Oryzias latipes: one gene and its partner. The protein of the gene in region 2 purifies or fractionates together with the protein of the main gene of each other region. This does not show direct contact. Links are inferred from orthologs where the notes say so. Each region holds a gene or a part of one and is shown on either strand. Other genes may lie near its edges. The genes, in order: mlx and carbohydrate-responsive element-binding protein.

The links.
Region 1: the proteins of carbohydrate-responsive element-binding protein (region 2) and mlx purify together in Homo sapiens (affinity purification with western blotting; 3 studies listed by BioGRID and IntAct, counting the BioPlex papers as one, with this or other methods). This does not show direct contact. The link is inferred for Oryzias latipes from reciprocal best matches to the Homo sapiens genes MLXIPL and MLX.

Annotation. Positions count from the first base shown.
Region 1 is NC_019866.2:6,755,674-6,760,031, forward strand, and holds the start of mlx (max-like protein X), read right to left. Parts: upstream 2,970-4,358; 5' UTR 2,867-2,969; coding exon 2,831-2,866; intron 2,781-2,830; exon of another isoform or gene 2,476-2,780; coding exon of another isoform or gene 2,470-2,475; intron 1,974-2,469; coding exon 1,937-1,973; intron 1,807-1,936; coding exon 1,717-1,806; intron 1,373-1,716; coding exon 1,263-1,372; intron 1,181-1,262; coding exon 1,078-1,180; intron 789-1,077; coding exon 689-788; intron 365-688; coding exon 163-364; intron 1-162. Other genes in the region: fmnl1 (formin-like protein 1), read left to right, coding at 4,105-4,281. UniProt on the Homo sapiens protein: Transcription regulator. Forms a sequence-specific DNA-binding protein complex with MAD1, MAD4, MNT, WBSCR14 and MLXIP which recognizes the core sequence 5'-CACGTG-3'. The TCFL4-MAD1, TCFL4-MAD4, TCFL4-WBSCR14 complexes are transcriptional repressors.
Region 2 is NC_019872.2:21,281,262-21,284,507, reverse strand, and holds the end of carbohydrate-responsive element-binding protein, read right to left. Parts: intron 2,981-3,246; coding exon 2,857-2,980; intron 1,562-2,856; coding exon 1,432-1,561; intron 1,317-1,431; coding exon 1,150-1,316; 3' UTR 651-1,149; downstream 1-650. UniProt on the Homo sapiens protein: Binds DNA as a heterodimer with MLX/TCFL4 and activates transcription. Binds to the canonical E box sequence 5'-CACGTG-3'. Plays a role in transcriptional activation of glycolytic target genes. Involved in glucose-responsive gene regulation.

The DNA of each region.
Region 1 (4,358 bases), on a different chromosome or scaffold from region 2:
TTTTAAATAACAATTTGACTCTTTTACTTGTGATTTTATGACTTTTCTCTTCATTTTACCACTTTATGCTCGTAAATGTCTTTATTTGTTTGTTTTGATGGTGGCCCCAATACTCTGTCGTAGTTTTCTAAGCACAAACGCTAAAAAAGCAATATTTGGTACCTGTGGTTTGCAGTGCTCTTCAATCCAGCTAAAAACACAAGCAGACAGTTCTTCGAAGCTGCTGACTGAGACGGAGTTGCTGAAGGACACAAACAGGGAGTCCATGATGCTCTGAAAGATGTCAAACTTGACCTGGTCAGACACCTGATCCTCTCCCTGTTGTGGATTGCTCTGATGAGCCTTTACTATGTGCTCATAGTTCCTTCAAAAAAACAAAACAGACAGTATTTATACCACTAAAGGTTGACAGCAGTTATGAATTTAACAGTTTACTTCAGTTTCTATTAGATTATTGAAGCTAAAAAGGTCCTGGAGAAGAAGAAAAAACAAACTATGATACAAAAATGATGTTTTTTTCAACAAAACTTTACATTAGAAAAGGGGCAAGAACTTAAAAAAAATCAAAATCTCTTAATGCAAAAAAAACAACAACTATATTTTTAATCCAAATAAAGGCAGAGTGTTGACAAACTATGAGGAAGACTTAAGTAGGAAAAGGTGGTATGTCATTATAAGCTGCTCTCACGTTTTCATTATCTTAAGTGCCATAACTTCTTTCCTCAGGACAGAGACTTCCTCCTCTTGCTTCTTCTTTTCTTTATGAAGAAAATGAATGTAGTCAATAGCTAAAAAAAAAAAAAAGAATCAGAGCATTGTCAGTTAGTTTCTTCATACTGCTTTTTATGGTTTTTGCATCTATTTTGTGACCATAAAGGTAACTGAAACTAGATCGTGTTATCAGTTTTTAAATGTGTTTAGTGGAAACTACCATCTCACATTTACCTGACTGTCTGAAAATAACCTCACTTTTAGCATTACAGGTGTTTCAAATATAAAAAGAATAAATACTTTTACAAATGTAAAAGAACAAATGTTATCATCCCACTATTTCAATAGGTTTTGAGTAAATCTTACTTTTCTGCAGGATTGTAGCTTTGCTGATCTTCTGTGCTCCTACGGCAAACTCAGACTGCTGTTGACAGGTTGGAACAATTGACTGAAGATCATCATAACCTTTCTGAAATAAAAGTAAAGAAATATATACGAGATCAGATATCTGGAATTTTAAAGACAGTGACGCGATTCTTCTGCGGTCTCACCTTGATGGCATCTCTGCGCTTTTGCTCAGCTTGTGTGTGCGCTTGTCTCCTTCTGTCTTTATACGAGTCTTTAAGCGACGTCTCGTGTCTGTAGTCGCTGTCCTCATCATCTATTTTGGAATAAATTAAACTATTGTGACCCGACTCTGTTTTTGTGCTGTCGATCAAATTATAAAAAGCATTTCAATAAATACAAGAGTCAAATCTCAAAGTGGCCTCATGGTTCTATTGGGATGTTAGCATGTTTTTATAAACATTTCTCACCAAGAAAAAGTATATTAAATACTTTTAACCAAAGAATTTAGTCTTCCAGAAAAGGGTAGATAGCACAATTGTGGATTGAAAAGAAAAACAATAAAGTAATTTCCTATTATTTTCATTTATGATGACAGAGTAAAACTTTTGATTGATATCAAAACAGACTGGATGTCGATTTAAAAGACTCTAAAGCTACCAGTATTTGGTACTGAAGAGGCACTTGTTGACCCGATGCTGTTTGCTCTGGACACCACACTTCCTTTTCTGGCTGTTTCAATATAGAAACCTGCAAATATAAGCATAAATGTTTAGAAATATGACAAAAATAAGACATAAACAAAAAGAAAACCAATCCGAAAAAGTTGTTTTCTCACAGGCAGGATTTGATTTAAAAACAAAACCCAAAAACTACTCACTTTGGTCAAAGCCACCATCGCTGAAAGCACCATCTGTCTGCGCAGCCATCATAAAGAAGCAGGAGAAATGGACAAAAAGCGGTGGGTTTACCATTATAGACCAAAAAAAGAAAAGAAAGTGTGCTGTTCTAAATACTTTGATTACAAAGACCAGAACACCCACTGAGGATTGTCCTGGTTTAACACATTCAAGCAGGGAGAACACAACTCGTTCGATCGCAATTTAGTTAAAATTTAGGACAACAACAAAAGAACAGGTAAACTTCACAATTAGTGATTTTCTAGTGGCTCCCTCTTGAATGGTACTTTCAGCATCAAAGTTAAGCTGACATATAAAAAAATACAATTAATCTACTGTAAAGTCAAGATTCAAAGGTTTTTTAACATCAAAAATATCTCTTAAAATTTTACTTAGTGGCACTGGTACCAAACCTGACAAAACAAACTACATGCATTAGCTTAAATGTAAAGGCAGACTACTAGTACTTCTTCGTTATGAAATCTTGACAGAAACCAAATTTTCATTTTCCTACCGTCATTGTACACACAATGAAACCGACTCTCTCTCCGTTCTTTTGTTTAGATATCTACGGTTTTGCTGACCCAAGTGTATTTTTTTCATGTGCATGAAGACTTTTTAAAAACTGAATTAACCCGAGTTTTCCGGTAGCTTTGTTTACTTAGCTAGCTTGCTTTGCTAAGCACTTCAATGTTGCTTAACGTCACTAAGCTAGTTAGCCGCGAGGCTATTATCAAAGCACCGTTTCCACTTTACTTCCGCGTTTTGACAGCCGAGTCAGTTATAACTGCCGCCCCCAACAACACAGACCAAGTAATTATTTAAAAAAGTAAAGTTTGTGATAAGTTAAAATCTGGTTCATAAGAGTGACTTACTTTCCAGTGTTCCTCTGGGGATGTAGGATCCGTCATTTTGGAAGGCTGAAAAAACTAATAGTGGTGTCGCATTCACGTGTCACTCGTAAATTAAACTGCTTTGTTAGGAATGAGATGCGTTCATATTTCAAACCATCAACATTTAAATAATACTTTAACTATAAATATAAATACTTTATATATGTATGTGTTTTGTATACAAGTAGTTTTTTTGTTTCTGTGATTAATTAGTAAGAAGATACTTTTAAATGTTTTACCTTTTGATGTAATATGTAACTGACGTAATTTTTGGTAAAAATGTAGGCACCTATTGTTCAAACTTCAAGTATTTGTCACATATATTTATTTATTCCTTTAACTATTTATATACACAACAATGTGAATGTTAGTATCATTCATAACGAAAATTTCATACTGATCTCAAATGTTGCACGGCTATATGCAGTGATAATCTTTAAACGCAGGAGGTCGCTGTTTCTCAGTTTTAAAACCAGTATTCAACTTTAGCTGTTTGACCCGTGCGACCTCCAAAACAAACCTGTCTCAAGCTAGAGTGGAATAAACAGCTCCAGTTTATAGATTTAGCTTTAAATGATTAATAAGCTGCAGACAATTCTATTGTTGGTTTAATTTTGTACATTTGCATGTTGTAATTGTGTCTTTATTTCTGGTTACCATGAGCAATGTAGTTCTTTTCTTTTGCTATGTGTTGTTTATTTGTTATGTACCTTTTTATATTTGTGATCCGAATAACGGATGCAGTTTATCTTCCACCCTGTCCTCCACCTCAGGTTCTGCTGCACTCATACACAGGAAGTTACTCTTCTGCTTTTCTGCTTCTGTGGTTTCTGTCTGTGTTTCACACTCCCCTCTCCTTCCTCTCATACAGAGGCGTCTCTGCCTTATTCAGAGAAGTTTTCAACCTGTGTAGAAATAGTTCATGAGAGTTGGGTACGTCTTTTCTTAGAGCACGCAGGCCTAACAAGGCTATTGTCTTGTTCTTGTTGGCTCATGTAGACAGACAAGTTTCTGAGCGGACAAACATGAAGACAACCCTCGTTTTTTTCATCACTTATCCTGTCTTGAAGACAGGACGCAATTTAGAATAAATGTTCTTCACCTTAAAGGCACAGGACTTGATTCATCTTAGACCTTCCTGTTTTTGTCATTTAGAGTGACCAACTTTTTGTCACTCTGCTCTGGAATACACCAATTTTCCTCGGAGAAAGGGTTTGTGTAAAGCTTTCCTCCTGGATTACTTTTGGAGATTAGTGATGGGGAATGCGGCGGCAGGGGGCTTGGAGCAAGAACCTGCTGACGGCCGGGACGCCAGGATCTCGGTTTCGGCAATGAGTGATCCCGCACTTGTCTTGCAGAAGAAACAGTCGGCTCCCCCAAAACTTCCCATGCCTCCGGAGGAGGAGCTGGAAGAACGCTTCAATGTGGTCCTGGTGAGTGGTTCTTGTTACTCACACTTTCACCAAATGCAGAGACACTACAGTCCAAGAAACCTGTTGTTAGGAAGGTT
Region 2 (3,246 bases):
CAAGTGGGCACAGTGCAGCAAAAACCAGCGAGCTGCAAAAACTGCACGGCGAGCAAAGGCTGCCCGCCCGGCCACAACACGGTCCCGACCCGCTCCACGAAGCCAAAGTGTTCCTCTTTGTCTCTGCCAGACAAACCTTAGGGCTAATGTATGTCACACAAAGGCGACATAAACACCGCTTCAATGTGTCTATTCAGAATTTATGAACCAGGAACGGACGCGGAGCGTGTTTTTCTTCGGGGATGTCCGTTAAGCTCAAACTTGATGCCTAAGCTTTTTTCGGAAACTCTTACCTTTCCGGTGGTCTTTTCTCTCGCTGAGTTCGTCGTTTATGGTCGATTCCGAGCGCTGGTTTCAGGTTTGCTGTATTTAGAAGTGGGGTGGGCCCCGTAGCTGATGAGGAGCCGTGTTTTCGGTCCCTCTTCTCTTCGGCGTTAGCTGGCCCGCTGCATCCGCTCGGTTCGTGGTGCTGAAGTGGACAGCGCACCGAGGAGCTCTGGGAACAAAACCCCCAACGCCGCGCTTCCACAGCGCACAAGCACAACAGCGCCCTCTGTCCGCCAGGAGGAGTGCTTACAGCGTAGGGTGACCCTCAGCAGACCCACATCAGAGTGACACACGTACAAAAAATGAAACATGAGGGATTCCTCGTTGTTTCGTCAGTTTATATGAATTAATCATTTCATACAAATCTGGATTTTAAGCGTGCTGAAAAAAAAAAAAAAAAAAAACTTTACCGCAGAAAAAAAATGCAAGCCAAAATACAATAAATTGTTTAGAAAGTTACAAGGTTTGACATATTTCACCCTTAATTTTGCTGGTATAAAAGTTCTGAACCATCTTTATGAACACTTAGGAGTACAAAAACCCAAATGACAGATTTGTAAATGTCCCACATTGCTTAGATTAAAAAGGAAAATATTTAAAAAAAATAATCAGTCCAAAAGATTGTAATAACTTGGGTTGTAGTATAATGTAAAACACTGACTAAAAGCAAATTGAATTTCTTGAATGAAAAATATCCATTCATATAAATTAAGCAAGTATTATAATGTACTAAACTTCAGTCTTTTTGTTGATGAATTTTATCAGAATTATGACCATAAAATCCTGGTTATTCGAATGAGCTTCCACCCAGTCTTCAAGGCTTCAGCATGGGTGTGTTCCACTGCTGGGGGGGGCAGGTTGTAGAGAGTGGTCAGTGGTGACAGAGGGGTCACCCTGGCTGACGGCGACTGTGGCCTGTTCTGGCAGTAGGCTTGGGTCTGTCAGAATGGCGGTGGTGGTACACAGGAGGCGGAGTGAACTCAGAACCACTGAGGTCACAAAGGGAAAACCAATAACATTAACATAAAAAATTTCAATAGCAAATAGTAATAACAGTTAAAAAAATGTGGCTTCTAATCATTGTCGTAGCTGCAACAGACTCACTGGGTCTCAGGGAGGGCAGGGAACAATGCTGATCCAGCCAGGACAGAGTTGACCGGCACAGATCCTCAACACTGGCGGTGGACACCATTCCATTGTAAGACTCAAACAAGGGCTCAATGATGATGCTGAACTGAGCACTGAATTAAGGGAGGATGTGACGAACCACCAAGATGAGACATGACTAAAATAGGAAGTTTCATATTGATAACATAGATGACCCAAAATAAATTAAAGCACGAGTTGCTAGAGACTCAATTGTGTGTTTTAAATACCCACTCCAATGAAAATAGTGTTTTTTGGCATGTTCTTGTGGCATTGTTCTGAAGATGGAGGACATACTTAAACAAAATTATGCTCGAAATTGTATTTCTGAGCATTTTTTAATTCAAATTTTTGTGGATCGGGAGCAGACGAAAAATGCAGGTATAAAAAGGTGGTATTTGTGACTTGGAAAATATGCTGTGTGAGCCACAAGCTCCCTGCCCTTCATAAACACATAGATCCAAGGAAGTCTTTGTTTTCCTCATCTGAACTGCCATCTGGCTCAAAACTGTACGGCTAGACAGCTCCAATATGGCTTCCCATTTTTGTTGCAGAGCTAATGTTAGCTTGGAGAAGGGGCTAATGTTAGCTTGAGAAAGTGCAAAAGAAGTGATGATGGGATATCAGTGGAGGCTTACTTTTGAGACAAACGTCTCAAACAACCCAGAGGGGGATTTCTGATAAACGTCTTCTGCTCTGCACAAACTATGTCTTAGAAAACAACACAGCTTTTTTTTGCCTAAGAATTGCATAATCATAATTAAAAGACTACTGGGAATGATTTTTTTTACAATAGATCAAAAGATGATTGGAGTGGAACCTGAATCAGAAATTTTATTTTACGTAGATCTTAATTAGCATAACTGCTTTTAGGTATTTTTATAAACTTTTTGCACAATGAACTTGAGGTTTTGCAAACAAAGGCCAAAACTTACAAAGTAATATTGCTATTATTGCATCATATATGACTACATCTGGCTGTTAAACTTGAGACTCAACAATGTTTTTATTTAAGAATAAAACTTCAGATTAAAAACACGATTGGATCTCTTCAAAGCACAGATATGCAAATTTCCATTTCATTAGAAACCTGAAAAAAGTAGAACATTTCTTTCCATCTACCAGAAGTTGCATAAAATTTTGTTTAATTGGTTCATTTATATTCAAGGCTAAAGGCCCAGAGCCATAGGATGATTTGATATTCCTCTAAATTCTGAAGAAAAGTGATTAAGCAGCAGACAACTATAACAACTCTCCATCCACACTTAGGGCTGGAAGAGAGGATTAATTAAAAAAATGTGATTATAGACCAAATCACATGTCATTTTTTTATAAGTTGGAAACAGAGAAATGCTCTTATGAATGTTCAAACCCATAGGATACAATCCAGAACTTCCAGTTTTGCAGAGTCTGGGCCCGTATGTACTCTCTGAACTTCTGCCTCATGTAGTCGAAGCGCTGCCGTGTGATGGGAACACCTGTGGCTGGAAGCTGCTGCTGGCAGGCACTGCAGGAAGAGAACTGAGTCAACAAAGCAAAGCACAATTTTGACTGACTGAAGCAGAGGATGCAAAGCTTAACAATCTGAGAACTTATTCTTTACCTCCAATCAGTCTAAATTGTTAAAGTCTCACTCCGATCATCTTGTGATCTATTTTCAAAGTGTTCCCAGTGGTCTTTTAATTATGATTATGCTGCTAGGGCGGCTCCCTTCCCATTATCCATTTGTTTACTTGTTTTCCCACTAGCTTACAGCCCCTCACACACCCAACC